3 linked regions of the Rattus norvegicus genome follow. The protein of the gene in region 2 interacts with the protein of the main gene of each other region in a biochemical or structural test. Links are inferred from orthologs where the notes say so. Each region holds a gene or a part of one and is shown on either strand. Other genes may lie near its edges. The genes, in order: Tor1aip2, Tor1a and Tor1aip1.

What was found.
Region 1: the proteins of Tor1a (region 2) and Tor1aip2 form a complex in vitro, tested with the Homo sapiens proteins (4 studies listed by BioGRID and IntAct, with this or other methods). The link is inferred for Rattus norvegicus from reciprocal best matches to the Homo sapiens genes TOR1A and TOR1AIP2.
Region 3: the proteins of Tor1a (region 2) and Tor1aip1 form a complex in vitro, tested with the Homo sapiens proteins (2 studies listed by BioGRID and IntAct). The link is inferred for Rattus norvegicus from reciprocal best matches to the Homo sapiens genes TOR1A and TOR1AIP1.

What each region holds. Positions count from the first base shown.
Region 1 is NC_086031.1:70,778,823-70,784,205, forward strand, and holds the start of Tor1aip2 (torsin-1A-interacting protein 2), read left to right. Parts: upstream 1-1,447; 5' UTR 1,448-1,545; intron 1,546-1,618; exon of another isoform or gene 1,619-1,678; intron 1,679-5,383. UniProt on the Homo sapiens protein: Required for endoplasmic reticulum integrity. Regulates the distribution of TOR1A between the endoplasmic reticulum and the nuclear envelope as well as induces TOR1A, TOR1B and TOR3A ATPase activity.
Region 2 is NC_086021.1:34,652,148-34,657,592, forward strand, and holds the start of Tor1a (torsin-1A precursor), read right to left. Parts: upstream 3,271-5,445; 5' UTR 3,233-3,270; coding exon 3,052-3,232; intron 2,700-3,051; coding exon 2,434-2,699; intron 1-2,433. UniProt on the Homo sapiens protein: Protein with chaperone functions important for the control of protein folding, processing, stability and localization as well as for the reduction of misfolded protein aggregates.
Region 3 is NC_086031.1:70,772,084-70,777,614, forward strand, and holds the start of Tor1aip1 (torsin-1A-interacting protein 1), read right to left. Parts: upstream 4,041-5,531; 5' UTR 3,853-4,040; coding exon 3,369-3,852; intron 2,920-3,368; exon of another isoform or gene 2,547-2,919; intron 2,478-2,546; exon of another isoform or gene 2,322-2,477; intron 1,655-2,321; coding exon 1,580-1,654; intron 1-1,579. UniProt on the Homo sapiens protein: Required for nuclear membrane integrity. Induces TOR1A and TOR1B ATPase activity and is required for their location on the nuclear membrane. Binds to A- and B-type lamins. Possible role in membrane attachment and assembly of the nuclear lamina.

The sequences.
Region 1 (5,383 bases), on a different chromosome or scaffold from region 2:
GAGAAGGGCATTGGATCTCCTAGAATTGGAGTTACAGACAGTTGTTAGCCAGCATGTGTGTGCTGAGAACCAAACCTCCATCCTCTGTAAGAACAGTCATTGCTCTTCAGCCGTTTTTAATGAAAGTATTTTAATGGGAAGAGCTTTTTGAAACAGGGACTAATGTAGCCTAGACTGGCCTAAACCTCCTGGTTCTCTTTCTCCAACCTCCCAAGTGCTAGGATTACAGATATATGTCACTGATGCCATGCCTGGCAAAACATTTAAAAAATCTCCTTTTAATTATTGAAAGAGCGTGGAGGGTGGCTAGAGAGAGATTGCCTAAGACTTTTTTCTTTAAAGATTTATTTATTATATATAAGTACACTGTAGCTGTCTTCAGACACACCAGAAGAGGGCATCAGATCCCATTGCAGAGAGTTGTGAGCCATCATGTGGTTGCTGGGAATTGAACTCAGGACCTCTGGAAGAGCAGTCAGTGCTCTTAACCACTGAGCCATCTCTCCAGCCTGATTACCTAAGTCTTGAGTACTTAACTGTTCTTATTGCTCCCAGCACCCATATGGTACCTCACAATAGCTTGTAACCCCAGCAGTTGGGTGATCTGATGCCCTCCACTGGCCTCCTTAAACTCTAAGAACATGGTTCACATTAACTCCCATAGATGCATGTATACACATATAAGTAAAATATTTTTTAAAAAGATAATTGATGGGCTGGAGAGATGGCACAGGCCTGTTAATTCCTGCACAGGAAAGAGGGTGCTGAGTTTAAGTCTGAGACTTAAACTAAGAGTTTAAGAGTTTTCTAAGAGTTCCTGGTAAGACTGGTCAACTTAAATCCTGTCTTACAATAAAGTAAAACTTATGGAGATATGCCCACCTCTGCCTTCTGAGTGCTGGGGACTGAAGGCTGTACCCCCAAACCCCAAAATAAGAGCTATTTTTGGTACCTAGTCTATTATTGCCTGTTAGCAGACATGCTATTTAGGTACTCACAACAACTTCACGTGGGTATGAAGCCTTGTCCCCACTGACCCACGCGCAAACTAAGTTTTAGATTAAACAATCAGTTTGAGGATAGCCTCTAGTTAGAGTAAGAGGCTGGGTTCAAAGGCGTGTCTTAGTGAGTGGTGCTTGCCACTATCTTCACTTACTGTCTCTTACTTTTCTGCCCTCGTGTGGTTTTGTAAGCTTTGTATTTCAGGTTATTATAAGGGACGAGGTGGTCAGAGTCTTGCAGCCTGTTTACATAGTCACTTCAGCCTTGAGAAATAGTGCTGGCTGTGGCTGGAAGGCTTGCACAGAAGCTTGTGCTAACGTTCTAGGAAGTCTAGTGGGAGGAGCTGGGGGAGGTGGGGCCAAAGGACTACCTATCCCAGCATTCCGCGGGCTCCTCCCTGCGGAGCTCACGTCACGTGGGCGGTACAGGCGACATTCTGCCGTGGCGGCTGGGGGTTGCAGACCAGCGCTGTGGAGCAGGAGGGACAGCCGAGTGGCGCCGCTGATCCTGACTGTCCCATATTTTAAAACCTGGCTGGAAATTGTAAGTAAGCAAAACGAAAACACAACTTTAACATTATTTTAGTGTCTGAACTACTATTTTCTCCTTTCAAAAGGTCTTTGAAAAAGGATCCCTCCCCACCCCCACCTCCCCTACGGCACAAACAGAAATCGAGGTAGGTTGGGATGGGTCTGTAATTTCCGGGAGGGTGCAGAAAACATACCTGGAATCTTTCAAGCATAAAACGAAACAAGGTGAGAGTAGATTTTTGATACGGACTGTAGATGAGAGGTAAGATTACTTAAAAGTTTTCAAATGTAAACCAGAATTCTTATTGTAAGAGTTCATTTCTCTTATTTCGCTGCGTAAGGATTCCAGTAATCTTCTAATCCTTAAAAGATAGAACAGTTAAGTTTTTCAGTTAGTAACTAGTAATGCTGAAATGGACAAACTTTGAAACTCGGAATTACTTTACTTACCTATTTATGTACTCAACTGTTTCATACCCAGCTTTTTAAAAAAAACAAAAAAACTTCTTTGAACAAAATCTTTGGTAGTCTCTACTTTGTCAGATTTTATGCTTGTTTATATAGATCCAGGGATGTTAACTTTTCTAATTAAATTTGCCTGTTTTGTTTGCCTTACCTCCCCCTCCCCCCACCGTGAAGGTAGTTTCTGTTTCTGGCCCTGGCTGGCCCCGAACTCCTGCCTCTGCCTCTGGAGCGCTGGGATCAAAGGCATGCACTACCACACCCAAGTGCCTGTCCTTAGGTTTAAAAACCGCTTATTTAAATGTATAAGAGGGTTTTGTTGGGTTTTTTGTTGTTTTTTTAAAGGCTGCGTGCAGCGAGGACCCAGGACTACCAGTTTTATATACTGTATAAGTCCTTTGCAAATAGAAAATAATTTAAGTAAAGAACTTCCGCAGTAGACAAACTAAAAATAAAAAACGTTCTAGGAAGCCTTTTGAATAGCTTAAAAAAAACAACCTGAGGTTGTGTATGAAAACTTTGAGGCCCTTAAGTAGTGTTGTTGATCTGGATGCAGAGTCCACCCCCAGATAAGGAGGTTTGTTGCAGTTATCATGTGACCTTAGCTGACTCATTTACTCTTTTTTTTTTTTTAGTAGTTTCCCTCCTAATGTAGAGGTACCACACCTAGAGCTTCTGTAATAAACAAGTAACCAGAATTTAGCTGGTCACTTGAGGAGTAGGGTTTTTGGTTAGTTTGCTTGTTTTGTGGGTTTTTTTTTTTAGTTTATTTTTCTGAGGTAGGATCTCTGTATTCTATATCCCTGGCCTCCCTGGACCCCTCTATTAAGCCAGTTTAATGTGACCTCAGAGAGCACAAGCCTCTGCCTCCTCAATAGAGAGTTGTGCCACCAGCACTTGACTGTTGTAGTTGTGCATTGCGTCCTGCACGTAGTTATTGTAAACCATCCCAAGGAACTAAAGTGCCCCTTAAATTTCTCAAGGGGAAATTGGTTTAGAGAAGCTTTGTCTGCCTTTCAGTTTCCTATTAAGCTTCAAGGCCACTATGAAAAGCACACACACACTTGGCTTTCTGCAGCCCACACCCTCGTGGGTCTGAGTTTCCAACACCCTTGTCAATTGACCTACAAGTGGTTTTCCAGTGTAGTTCTCATATTTTATCATAAGCTTTGCACAGTAAGACAAGCGTTTGTCAGTAAGGGTATCTTGAACAGTGACTGTATACGTGGACTTTGGAGTCATAACTGATCGGACTTCCGGTACTATCTGAGGATCGTAGGACTTTGGCAGATAACTACTTCTGAGCCTGTTTCCTTAGCAAAGTGGAGAACTGTAGGGTCATTTAGAATATTTAATGAAATCATTTATGTACAGAAGTAAAAACAGCTATTATTAATTGGGTTTTTTCCCCTGTATAAAATATTAGAAGGATTATATATAGAATGTGATTTTGGTAACCCAGATTGAAATGAAAAAAGTTCATCTGTAATTTTGTAACTTCTACAGGTCAAATCGTATTGCTTTTTAGTAACTCTGCTTTAGTACTTGACAAAACCAAATTTAAAATGTTAGCTTTTGCACTCTGAAGGTGTAGATAGGTCTAACAGAGCTACCTGGATTTGCCTCTTTCTATCTTGATAGAACAAAACAGCAGGGCTTTAAGTATTGCAGGTCCACTTAAGAGCGCCAGTGTTTGAGACCTTTCTGTGTGCTTCAGTAGGGCTACATGCTGCTCTCATTTAAGTGTCGTGCTGCTTTCCACCGTCTAGGTGGTGGCATTGCACTGGTTGTTACGAACAGCTGCAGCATCAAGATGGAATTCTAGTTAGCCCAGAAGCAGCCATTCGGGTTCAGGCAGAAAAGGAGATTGCCGTCGGTCAGTATTTGTAGACTTTCTGTGGATGTCGGGCCATTCTACATTCATCCTAGGGATTGACTTCAAACTTCTCTGCACAAAAGAAATGGTGTTTATGCTTTGACTATTTGGCCCACCATTTTAACATTTTATAGGGAAATAAAAGAAGAAGAAGATAAAAATACAATTTAGACTCAGGGCGTGGTGCAGATTTTTATTTTATTTTTTTAGGACGGGGTTTCTCTGTGTAGCCCTAGCTGTCCTGGAACCTGTCCATAGGTCAGGCTGGCCTCCAACTCAGAGATTCTCCTGTGTCTGCTGAGTGCTGGATTGAAGGCCTGGCCCGCCTACCCACTTCTAAGTTGTTTTCTCAAAAAGAGTAATAAGCATGGTATTTTTATAGTAAAGGGAACTAACTTTTCTTTAAAGAGAAATGTTTTCTTTAAATGTTAAACTTTGTGGGACCTGAGTTTAGATCCCAGTGTAGGAGTAAAAAGTCAGGTGTGGCTTGTAACTGCAGGCTTGCCTTGTAACCTCAGGCTAGCTCCAGATTCAGCAACTTAACCCTGTCTCAGAGGGTCATCTGGCATGAGACCCATGGGGTTTTTTTTTGTTTGTTTGTTTGTTTGTTTGTTTTTGTTTTTTTTAAGATTTATTTATTTACTTAATGTATATAAGCACACTGTAGCTGTCCTCAGACACACCCAACCCCATTACAGATGGTTGTGAGCCACCATGTGGTTGCTGGGAATTGAACTCAGGACCTTGAGAAGAACAGTCGGTGCTCTTAACTGCTGAGCCATCTCTCCAGCCCCCGACCCATGGGTTTTTAAGAGAGTCAGGTCTAATGGGTCTCAGGGATGGTGTGTCTAAATTTGTAGTTCAAACAAACTCCCAGGAAGTGGAATGATTCTTGGCTGATTAGTTGAGTATAGTAAAGAAGTGAAGGAATGGTGGTAAACTGGGTCCAGTAGCACCAACCTTTGTTACTAGCTACTTAGTAAGCTAAGAGAGCAAGATTTTAGGTTTAGGGACCACCAGAGCAACATGATGAGGTCCTGGTTTAACAACAGAAGTTATTGTCTTAATTGTTACTTTGATGGTGCCTCCCCAATAGAAGTGGATGTTCAGATCTTGGATTTTGAAAAGCTTATTGGAAGGATAGGGGTCGGCGTTGAGAAGTGCCTAATGGCCAAACTGAAACAATGTGAACCACAAAGAATGGTAGTGTGACATTTAAACCCATAAACTGTACTCAGGGGTCACTTACTGACTAGGTCAGTGATAGAGAAGGGATGAGTCACTGGTAGAAGTTGAGTGGACAGACAGCAGGCAGGTAAGAAGGAAATAGGAAGGCAAATAGTATGCAAGCATTACTAAAGTAACTGTAATGCTAGCGGGGAAAGGTAGAGGAGAGTCAGGATAGCTATGGCGTCTCAGAGCGTCTCCCCTGAGGTAATCATTAACTACAAATGAGAAAGGAATGGATGGTGGAGATAGCACACAGACCTGGTGGTCAAGGTCCATGCTCCAT
Region 2 (5,445 bases):
GGTTTCTCTGTTTTTGTGCAGTTTCCCCAGAGCCTCGCTGGTGTTAAGCAAGCCCAGACCCTCAGAACAACTTTACCCCCTCAGGACAATGGCTGGGCTTCTGGAGCACTGTGCTGTGAACATTACAAACATACGCCTTTGGCCTCACAAGCACTTCCGGTATGGACAGCATCATACCCATGCCACAGGGAGGACCCTGAGGCACAGAGCACTTCAGCAGCTTGCCTGAGACAAGAGAATTGGGCCAGGCAGGGTGGGATCTCAGTCTAGCTCTGCCCTATGCCAGAGCTCCAGGTTTGTGACTTTACACTAAAACACACTGAGGCTGTGCCAGTCAGGCCCCAGCTATCCTCACGTATATCGTGGGCATGACAGCCTCTTGGTGAGAGGCAGAAACCCACAAACCCACCATCGCCTCAGCCCTTCCTCTGCAGTCCAGCCTGGGGAAGCACCAATTCAGTCACAGCGCTACACAAGGCTTCCTTAGGGAGTCTGAGCTCGAGTGCTCAGCATTCTGGGAGCGGTGTGGCGAGGCTTTCCTGACGCATTTGGAGACAGATCCCAAGGAACATCACCAGAGACAGACCTATGGCCTCCATCAACACACAGGCTCAGAAGCACACCAAACACAAAATTAAAAAAAAACAAACCAAATGAAAATGATGGTGATGACAGAGTTCAGGGCTGCCCAGGCTACAACCGTGAGCACAGGCAGCTGCCTCAAGAACAAAGCAAACAAACAAACCCACCTTATTGGTATACGGTTGTTTGGTGGGCAGATGCTAAAGAATGCAATCAGGGCCTCAGTGACCCAAAGCCAGCCCTTAGCAAACCCCAGCCAGGTTCTTACAAGATCATCAAGGGGAGACACATAGACCTCTTTAAGCATCTTCCTCAGAAAACTGAGCCCCAATTCTACCTAACATGTGGGTATTTCCACCCACCCTCCTCCTCCTCAAGTGAGCCGGGAGAGCAGGCAGCTATGTATCTTCCTAAAGGACACACGGGAAGCTGTATTGTACATCAGCTTGGGGTTTTCTATCGGCTCCATAACCAGCTTACAGGTTTCCATTTGTATCTAATGTAAGCAGCCACTCGGCAAGCATGGACCACCTCCCTCCTCCAGTAGCTGTTCTCAACCTGCCGGTGGGCCGAGACCCTGGGAGGCTCACTTATCAGCTACCCGCATATCAGATGTTTACATTAAGGTTCATAACAGCAAAATTACAGTTATGAAGTAACACTGAAATCCTTCTATGAGGAACTGAATTAAAGGGTCACAGCATTGGGAAGGTTGAGAAACCTCCGTCCGTAGAGGAACCTTCAGAGACCTCGAGTGGCTGGCTAACACCATGTGGTCAGGGAACATTTCCATAAACTCACTCAGTTGTTAGAATCCAACAGAGAAGGTTTGCCCAGTCTCCTGTCCCAATCTACCAGAGTAACAGACTTCGTGCCAGCGCCCACTACAGCGAGACACTCTTCCAAGCATTGCTCCTTGAACATTTAGAATCTCCTCCCCAAAGCCACTGAGGAAATGATGCCGGGCCCCTACTTTCCTTGCTTCCTCCACCTGCTGCCCTCTCCATTTCTGTCTTCAAAGGGAGGCTTACTATGCAGCCCAGACTAACCTCAAACATGTGATCCTCCTGCCTCAGCCTGCTGGGAATACAGGTGTGTAGGAAAACACCCAGCTGACCTCAGGCACCGAGATTAAACGACCCGCACAAAGCCACACAGATTCAACAACGACGCTCAACAGAAAGGGGAGTGCGCGAACACAGGTGAGGGTGAAACACCATTTTTAAACAGAGTGTCCCTTCATAGGTTATGTGACAGCCCCAACTGCGCAGCTGTAGGAAAGGGCAGGACCTGAATTCAGGTGTGAGCCCGTCAAAGTTAAACTCCAATAGCAGGTTGCAACAGCTGAGTCAAAACAAACTTAGGTCTCCTTTTCACAATGAGGGGAGGGCGGCGACTCCTAAAGACCATGGAGTTGATTGTGACCCCACTTCCACAGCCAAGTGTTACCTTACTGAGCGTTGGTGGTTGGCGGTCACTCGTCTAATTGCTCTGTGTATATCAAACCCTTTGTAACTTACATATCCATCCCCACCGCAGCGGGCCGGGCAGGGTGGGGGTGGGATGGGGTGGAGATATTTAATCCAAAACTTCACACACTCTGGGCAAGTGTTCTACCCTGAGCTACCCCCAGCCCTTGATAGTTCCCTTTGAAACACAGGCTATCCTATCAGCTGCCATTCCTCCCACGGATATGACCACGGCCAGTTCTGTGCACACCTTTTAAAGAGGAATTGACATACTGAGCCATATCGAGGCTCACTCACTGACGTGGAATTCCCACATCCCAGCCCACAACAGAGAAACCCCAATCCCGGGTCATCTACGAAGGCGGCCAATTAATGCTCTTGCCTTATACAGGGTGATGTTAGAGGCGTGGGGGAAGTGTAGCGTGGCCACAAACAGGTGTACATAGTCACTGTTCAGTCCACCCTCGTAAATATTCTCTGCGATGATCTTGCTAGCGAAGTTTTTGCCGGTGCCTGTCCACCCGTGCAGGGAGAGGGTGAGGGGCTTCTTGGGCTTCGGGTTGCTTAGGAAACCAGACACGGCGTTTAAGATGACTCTTTTGGCAAGGTGTTGTCCAAAGAGCTTGTTATCCAGATCCTTCTGCAGCGCTGGGAAAAGAAAGATCACTCTGGTCAGGAGGGAAACAAGCTGGCAAAATGCAGCCCCATTTCCAGGCTGTCAAGGCCCGCGGAGCCTGATCTGGAGAGCGCGGAAGGACCCTGGTACTGCGAACTCTGCCCTTTCCTAGGGGTTGGCCTTGAGATGTCTCGGGCTACTGCCAGGCTGCGCCCCAAAGCTAAGCGGAAGAGGCGCCGTGAGGCCGCCCCGGTGAGCTCTGCGCAGGGCTGACATCCTGTCCCTGGCCCCGACCATTCACCTCCCTGGCCTCTGACCAAAGTCTGTCCTGGCCGCGGCGTCATCCTCCTGCCGCAGCATCCCCGCTGCCTGATGCCCACCTACCCTCACGGCTGAGGCTCCGCTTCTGGCCGCAGCACTCGGCGAAGAGGCAGTAGAGGCGAGGATAGGAGATATAGCCGGTGAGTACGCCGGCTAGGGCCAGACCCAGGCTGATGGGCTCCACCGCACGAACCACGCACGGCACCAGCAGCAGCAGGGCCAGAGTGGCCCGGCCCAGCTTCATGCCCGGACCCGCGCACCTTGCGCGTCTCAGCGCCCACCGTTCCCCGCGCACCGCCCAGACTGGTGTTTCCGGTTCCTGTTGGCGGGGCCGCCCTCTTTGTCCCGGGCAGACCGTCTCCCAACGCTAGTGGCTACCATCTTTGTTAAGGGCAAAGTCCTTTCTGCTTCTGAACCTCGACGTTATAGGAATAATATTGACGTTGTAGGAATGAGGTGATGATGACTGTTTGCCCATCCCCATCAAATAAGCGTGTTTTAGAACCATTTTCTTTAATGGTACAGGCATCTACATGCATGTGGCGCTCATAAACTTGTAGGCATACACACATGCATAAATTAAAACGTAAATGAATAATTTTTTTTCTTTTTTCTTTTTTTTCGGAGCTGGGGACCGAACCCAGGGCCTTGAGCTTGCTAGGCAAGCGCTCTACCACTGAGCTAAATCCCCAACCCCAATAATTTTTAAAATGTGAGTATAATATAGTGGGTCCCCAACTTGTTTCCCTATTATTAAAATCTGACATTTGGTCCAGGTGTGGTGGGTGGTGTGCACCTTCCAACACTCTGGGAGGTAGAGGCAGCAGGATGTCTTCGATGTCTGAATTGGAGGCCACCCTGTGGAATTCTAGGAGCAGCTGGGACTCAACAGTGAGACTGAATCTCAAAAAAAAAAAAAAAAAAGGCGTCTGTATATTATCTGTATATTATACTTGTTAAAAATCCACGACTAGGGCTGGAGAGACGGTTCAACAGTTAAAAGCACTGACTACTCTTCCAGCAGTCCTGAGTTCAATTCCCAGCAACCATGTGGTGGCTCACAACCATCTGTAATGGGATCCGATGCCCTCTTCTGGTATGTATGATGGCTACAGTGTCCTCATACATAAAATAAATAAATCTTTTTTTTTTTTTTTGGTTCTTTTTTTCGGAGCTGGGAAAATAAATAAATCTTTAAAAAAAAGAATCCATGACCAGAATTATTAAATAAAGCCCATAGTTCACCCAGTTTCTTGCTTAGGAAACTGTAGCTGAGTTTCCTCACTACTATGGTGGTACTGAGCAGTGTGTAAGGATGATCCTTGTAGGGGTTGGGGATTTAGCTCAGTGGTAGAGCGCTTGCCTAGGAAGCGCAAGGCCCTGGGTTCGGTCCCCAGCTCCGAAAAAAAGAACCAAAACAAAAACAAACAAACAAAAAAAAAGGATGATCCTTGTATTATTCAAATGCTGACTACGGTGCCCGGTGCCCTCGGACCTGGTTGCAATCCTTATTTTGAGAATCTCCTGTCATCAATGTTGTGTAAACATCGCTCCCCAATTATTCCATGATTGGTCAATAAAGGGCTGATCAGCCAATGACAGAGCAGGAGAAAGGGAGGAAGTGAGAATTTAGCTATGAGGTGGGGGAGTCCAGGCAACATCATAATCATAAAAGAACAGCTAGAGCAGAGAAAGCAATAAAATTCAAGTATCTCAGGGCTATCAAGTAGTTAGATTAGTTTAGAGGATTAAAATAAATGAATACTGCTCAGTTATTGTACTTTAAAGCTGTTAAATAATTCTGTCTCAATTATTTGGGAGCTAGTTGGGTTAAGAGAAAGCTGCAACATTTGTAAATTACCACTAAAAGGGAACACGTTAAGCTCTCCACAGTGCTAACTCCTCAGCTTCTCTTGGGTGCTTTTTAAAATGACTTTGAGAGTTTTGAGAAGTACTAGACACTTGGGGAAGGGGAGTTCTGAGAATGAAACCCAGGGCCTCATGCATTGTAGGCAAATGCTCCATGGAGATATGCCTCAGACCTTCTGTTTCTTGTTTGACTTCATTTTAAGATTTCTTTGGGATGGGGGTGGGGGGATGGGAGCTAGGCTCTAGGTCATGTTCAAGAACTGTACTCTCAACCTGCTAGCCATCTCTGCAACCTCTTTGTTTTAAGCTAAAATCTTCAAGACTTTTTCAACTTGCTACATAGTACAGGCTGGTTACGAACTTTTGATCCTCCTGCCTCAATCTCCCTAGTTCTGGGACATAGGCCTGGCCTTTTGTTGTTGCCATTCCTGGGGATTGAACCTTGGGCCCTTTGCGTGTAGCTGTACCATTGAGCTATATATACCCTTGTCCTGAAAATCTTCGCAGGTGTCCTTCTATGGGAATTTGACATTTCTCACCGTTAGACTAGGGTTCTGGAAAGGGGTTGCCAATGTGAAGTGCTATTTC
Region 3 (5,531 bases), on a different chromosome or scaffold from region 2:
GGATCAGGAGTTTGATGTTAGATTATCTTCTACCACACAGTGGGGCTGAATATCAGTCTAGACTATGTGAGGCCCTGACCCCTTAAACACAAAACTATTAACAACCAAACTCTGGGACTAGAGACGTAGCTTCTCTTCTCCAGCCTGTACTAGGCCTGGGTTGGATCCTCAGCATGCTAAAGCAGGGTGGTATGGGGGACCAAAATATACATTATATATAATCAATTGGATTATCTCTTCCATGTGTGAAGTTGGATTTTTTTTCTCCTGACTTCACAGCATAGACAGGCTTTAGATCAGAGAACCCCTCCTGCCTTGGCTTCTCGAGTGCCAGGATCACAGGCATGTGCTATCACACGTAATTTGTGATATATTTTTAAGAGTCAACCTCCTAACAGTTAACACATACTCTTTAACTATTCAATCTTGTAAATGTCCAAGCAATGGAAAGACCAATTTTAAATGAAACACCAATGCTGGCCATGTTCATTTCAGATGTTCTGAGTTCAAAGGTATAGGGCTTTTAATAAAGCCGTTTCAACATGCTGTTTTCAGTCAAGAAAATTATGTATAAAATTTCATTTTCTCAGGCCAACAGGATGGCTCGGTAGGTAAAAGCACTTGCTGCCAAGTCTGACAACTGGAGTTCAATATCCATAAATCATGTAAGGACAGAGGAGAATCTACTTCACAAGGTTCCCTCTGAGCTCCACAAGTGAACAATAAGCATCTGCACACTCAAGGAAAACAGACTTTGAGCAACTACTAAATGTATCCTAATTCCCTGTTACAGGGTTTCTAGGACAATTTTTATTACATTTTAAACATCTCTGAAATCATATACTATACAATTAAGGCATCTTAACATGAATTACCAGGAAACTGGCCGTATCTCTTCTCTTCTAGGTGGTACAAGAAGCAACGATGTTGTCCTACCTTACGACTGATACCCTGGATTCACAGAAACACAGTACTTAGCCTGACAGAATTGAAACTCACTGTGCCAGGGTTTTACCATCGCAGAAACAACTAAGCAGAGGGCACTGTGACACAACCATGTGACACTATGAATGATTACTTGACTGAAAGTGAACATTTGGGGAAAATGAATAGGTTTCAAAAGAGACAAGCCTGCCTTTTAATTTGCTCGTCTATTACATAATTTTAGAAAAGTCTTAGATACTCTGAGCTTCAGTTTTCTCATCTACTAAGGGGACAGAAGACTCCTTGCAAGGTTCTGATGATTAACAAAGTAGCACATAGTTGAATTTACACTTAGTTTTTACCCTCCTCTGTCCTAAGAAGTACCCCCATGGCTCTATAGTGAACCGAACAGACTCACAAAACTCTTGTAATTGATTGATTTATTTATGGTTTTTCAGACAGGATTTCTCTGTAAGAGCACTGGCCATCCTGGAACTCTCTTTGTAGACCAGGCTCGCCTTGAACTTACAGAGATCTGCCTACCTCTGCCTCCCATGTGCTTGGATTAAAGTCACACCACATCCAGCTTGAGTTATGATTCTTGATGATTCTTTGGCAGGAAAAGAGAAAAACAAAAAAAACAAACTATTCTTACCTGAAGTCTCTGGTGTCCTGACAGTTTTCTTTGAGACTGTTTGGCTTGTAACAGGTTGGGAAGAAGGTTCATCCTCTATAGCAACGACAAGAGATAAAAATTCAAGTTAGATGAGCTGGGAGAGATCACAGCATAGAGTATGCATATTTAACACTAATCTATAAACAGAGATGCAAGTACTCAATTTCTCTAGGTTCAAAACTTGGGAATTAACCTAATTAGAAATCTTATTAAGATACAGTATAATGAGGTCTGGAGAAGGTTTAGTGTTTAAACCTTAAAGAGCATTTGATGCTCTTTCTGAGAACTTGAAGATTCCTGCACACCAGTCCAAAAGGCTTACAATATTCTGTAGCTTCAGCTCCAAGGGACCAAATGCCATCAGATACATGCAGCTGCAGACACACATATAAGTAAAACAAAATATAAACTAATTGTTGCTTTACAACAAAAATGTTACTTTAGAAAATTAAAAAGATGAGTTTCAGAATCAAAAAAATCAGCAGGAAAAAGAAATGTTTTAGTCCTCCAAAAATTTAGTAAAAGGTAAAATGTATTTAGGTGCAGGAGGCTCTGAGGGAAAGTCAATAAAAGGAAATATAGTTACATTGCCTCCCAGGAGACAGAACCCAAGTATCTAAATGTCCAGCAGGCATACATGCATGACAAGTTCCTTTTTTTCAAGTTTGCTATCTTAAGAGAAATTCTATTGGTATATATAAGAAATAAACTGTCTCGTTACATTCAAAAAAACGTGCACATCTCAAGCGTAGTTTAGTCTAAAGTCAACAGATCTTCAAGTGTGTCAGGATTTTAAGGGCAAGTAGGTAAATCTGCAAGCCGTTTACTGTGCTCTAAGGTGAAAATCCACTCCTCTTTAGATGTATCAGATGTCTACCATTATTACCAAGGACATCCCATTGTGAGTCTAAACCTCAGAATTTTACCTCATAATTAGGTGACTTACCTGGGGCCTACTGGAAACCACCTGTGACTCAGAGAGCAGGGAATGGGAGGGTGGCTTGAAGAAATTTGATTCATCTGTGGCTTTACCAAAACTACAGTACACACCCTGTCCGAATTTGGGGCTTCATATAAAAGAAGCTTTCCTAATAAACAGAGCCTTGTTTTGTTCCGGTACTTTCTCAGCCTTGATTTGTTTAGCTACTGAAGGTTACAGGGATGGCCTTCAATCTGGGATAAAGTATGGCAGAGACCATACTATATACTTGGAGTAATATCAACAGTCAATTCATTCAAGTTAGCTATTCCTCGTAGCGTTCGCCTAGAAAAGATCTCGTTTTCCCAATCTTGGTGAAAAAAAGAAATCGACTGGAAAGTTAACTTAAAACCAGAATTTTCAGCAGGGGACTTGGGGCCCCCGAGATTTAAAATACAAAAAAAGGAAATGGAAGTGGCTTCAGTAGAAACCTCAGAGGGGGCGGAAATGAAACAGCGCAGAGCAATTTGGAGGAGCCCTGACAATGGCCTAGTTTAGCAAAAGTCTACAAAAAAAAGAGACGTAGACACCCCCAAACTGATGCTCAGGAATGGGCAGAGCTCCCCGCCTCCGCTCGGGTCACTTCGCACCACCATCTTTCCGCGCGGATTAGCGCGTCCTTCCCTCTTGAAGGTCCGGGTGGACTCAGCCCGGGAGTGCGAGCCCAAAGGGTCAAGGAATCATCACCACTACCCTAGCGGGGCCGGACTCCACAGGGGCGCGCCTCACGCCGCGTGCGCCCGTGCCCGCCACCGCGCGCGCTCCCGAGCAGGCAGCCGAGACTGTTACCTCCGCGGTCCTCACTTAAGGACTGAGCGTCCCGTAATCCTCGCCCGCTCGTAGCCGGTGACAGCTGCTGCTGCGCCTGCTGTGAGTGCTGCTCCAGACGAGTAGACCTCCGCGTCTTCATCTCCTCGGCTTCCTGGGGTCCCCGCTGCCTCCGTTGTCGAGACCGAAGATTGTAAGCGCTTTCTCTCACTTCCTCTTTCGCAGAATCCGACCGGAACTTTTCTGGCGGGGTTCGTCTTTCCCCCGGAGACCTTTCTTTGGCCGCCCGGGGCTCGAAGTCGCCGTACACTTCTGGCGGCTCTTCTGAAAACCTCACTTCCCGTCGTCCGTGGCGCGACGGATGAGTTTCGTACGCAGGCGCGTCACTCCCGTCGCCATTTTGAGTGGCGAGCCTCCGCCTTCCCTCCCGGATGGGGGCTCTGGGTGTGACGTAGATGGCCCATCCTTCTCCCAGCCCCTCGGCCCGCCACCTCTCTCCCGCCATAGTTGTTTACGTAGCTGTTGGTCGATAGGGACGATGGACTTTCCGCGGTTCGATTCCACTGCAGGTGGTGGCGATGGCTTCGAGGAGGTTGTCACAGTGGTCAGGGAGGCAGTTGAGAGTTGCCGGCGCCACCTCCTGCGTCCTCGCTAGTGTGCCACAAACCAGCCTCTGGGCCCATGGTGTGTTTTAAGGGCTGTGGAAGAGGCAGTGCCCGAGCTGGGTCAGCTGCTGTGGGTCACTCCCGCCTCCTGGCTGGAGGCACCAAAGAGGAGGAGAAGTGGGAGGAGGACGTCTCTGTCCTTGGCCTTGAGGGAGGGGAAGGTGGGGGCGACCAGGAGGTGGTAGGACAAGTGGCCTGTTCTAATCTGTTGATGGCCAGTTGCCCACCACAGGAGGCGCTGGTCCTGGCACCCAGAGGCTCTGGGAAAGGGCAAGCTTCAGTTCTTAATCCCAAACTGTTGCGCAGTTTCCCTGCTACTTTGGCCACTCCTTTTCAAATGTCCCTGGGAGGAGAAATGATCAGATAATTTTGCATGTCATGGCGAAAATTATAGTTTCAAGGACCTTTATGAAACTGCTTTTACCCAGTTTAAATTTTTAATTCACCTATGGGCCCTTATTCCTGAACTTTTATGTGAAAGTTCTGCTCCAGCAACACTGTTGGGAAAGAAGGCTGAATGTTGCCTTAGACACAGTATGAAATGGACAGGTACCCGACTAAAGATGGCACTGTAATCTTGAGAGCCATCTTTTACTTCGATTCTGAATATGATAATCTCTACATTTTGTTTAGAGTTTCTTACATTCACAGAATACGAAAACATGATCAAAACCTTCAGTTCTGTGTACCATACTTACATGCGTGTAACGAAATTTAGACAAACTGAAGAAGAAAGGTTGGTTTACTTGTAAAGTCTTGAGTTACTACTGAGAAAAACCTACATCCAACCACATAGCGTGTCTCCTAGAAGACTTTGTATATATAAATGAATACACACCCCCCACTCCCACAAATACTGGGAACTGAACCTAGGGTCTGAAGCTTACTAAGCAAGTGCTTTACCATTAAGCTATACCCCAGCCCTAAAAGAATTGGTTTTAAGTTTTTATTTGGAAGCCACTTCTAACCAGTGGTTTTGAAAAAATTTAAAGTGTTTGCCTTTTCCAGTATTTTAAATAATGCCCTTAAACTGTTACTCAAACTTAGACAAATTTCTAGTTACTGGAATTTTCACTAATAGTCCATAAATTTGGTCAGCAACACAGAGTTAGATGACAAGTCAGGCAGGATATATCCTTTTTGGAGCTTCATTTAGCATTGTTTATTAACTACAAAGAAATATAGCCAAAGAAACTAGAGGAACCATAACAAGACAGATGCCCTCTTTTTTTAAAGACGTGTGTGTGTGTGTGTGTGTGTGTGTGTGTGTGTGTGTGTGTGTGTAAGAGAGAGAGAAGGGGAAGGGGAAAAGGGGGAAGGGGAAGGGGATGTAATATATCTCTCCTGTCCTGGAACTGTAGATCAGACTGACCTCAGGCTCACAGAGATCCGCCTACTTCCCTAAATGCTAGGATTAAAGGTTTGGGCCACCACACTTGGTCCCACTTTAAAAAAAAAAAAAAAAACTTTTAAAGGAAAAACAAAAATAAAATTCACGGTATCCTGAAAAATGTGTGAC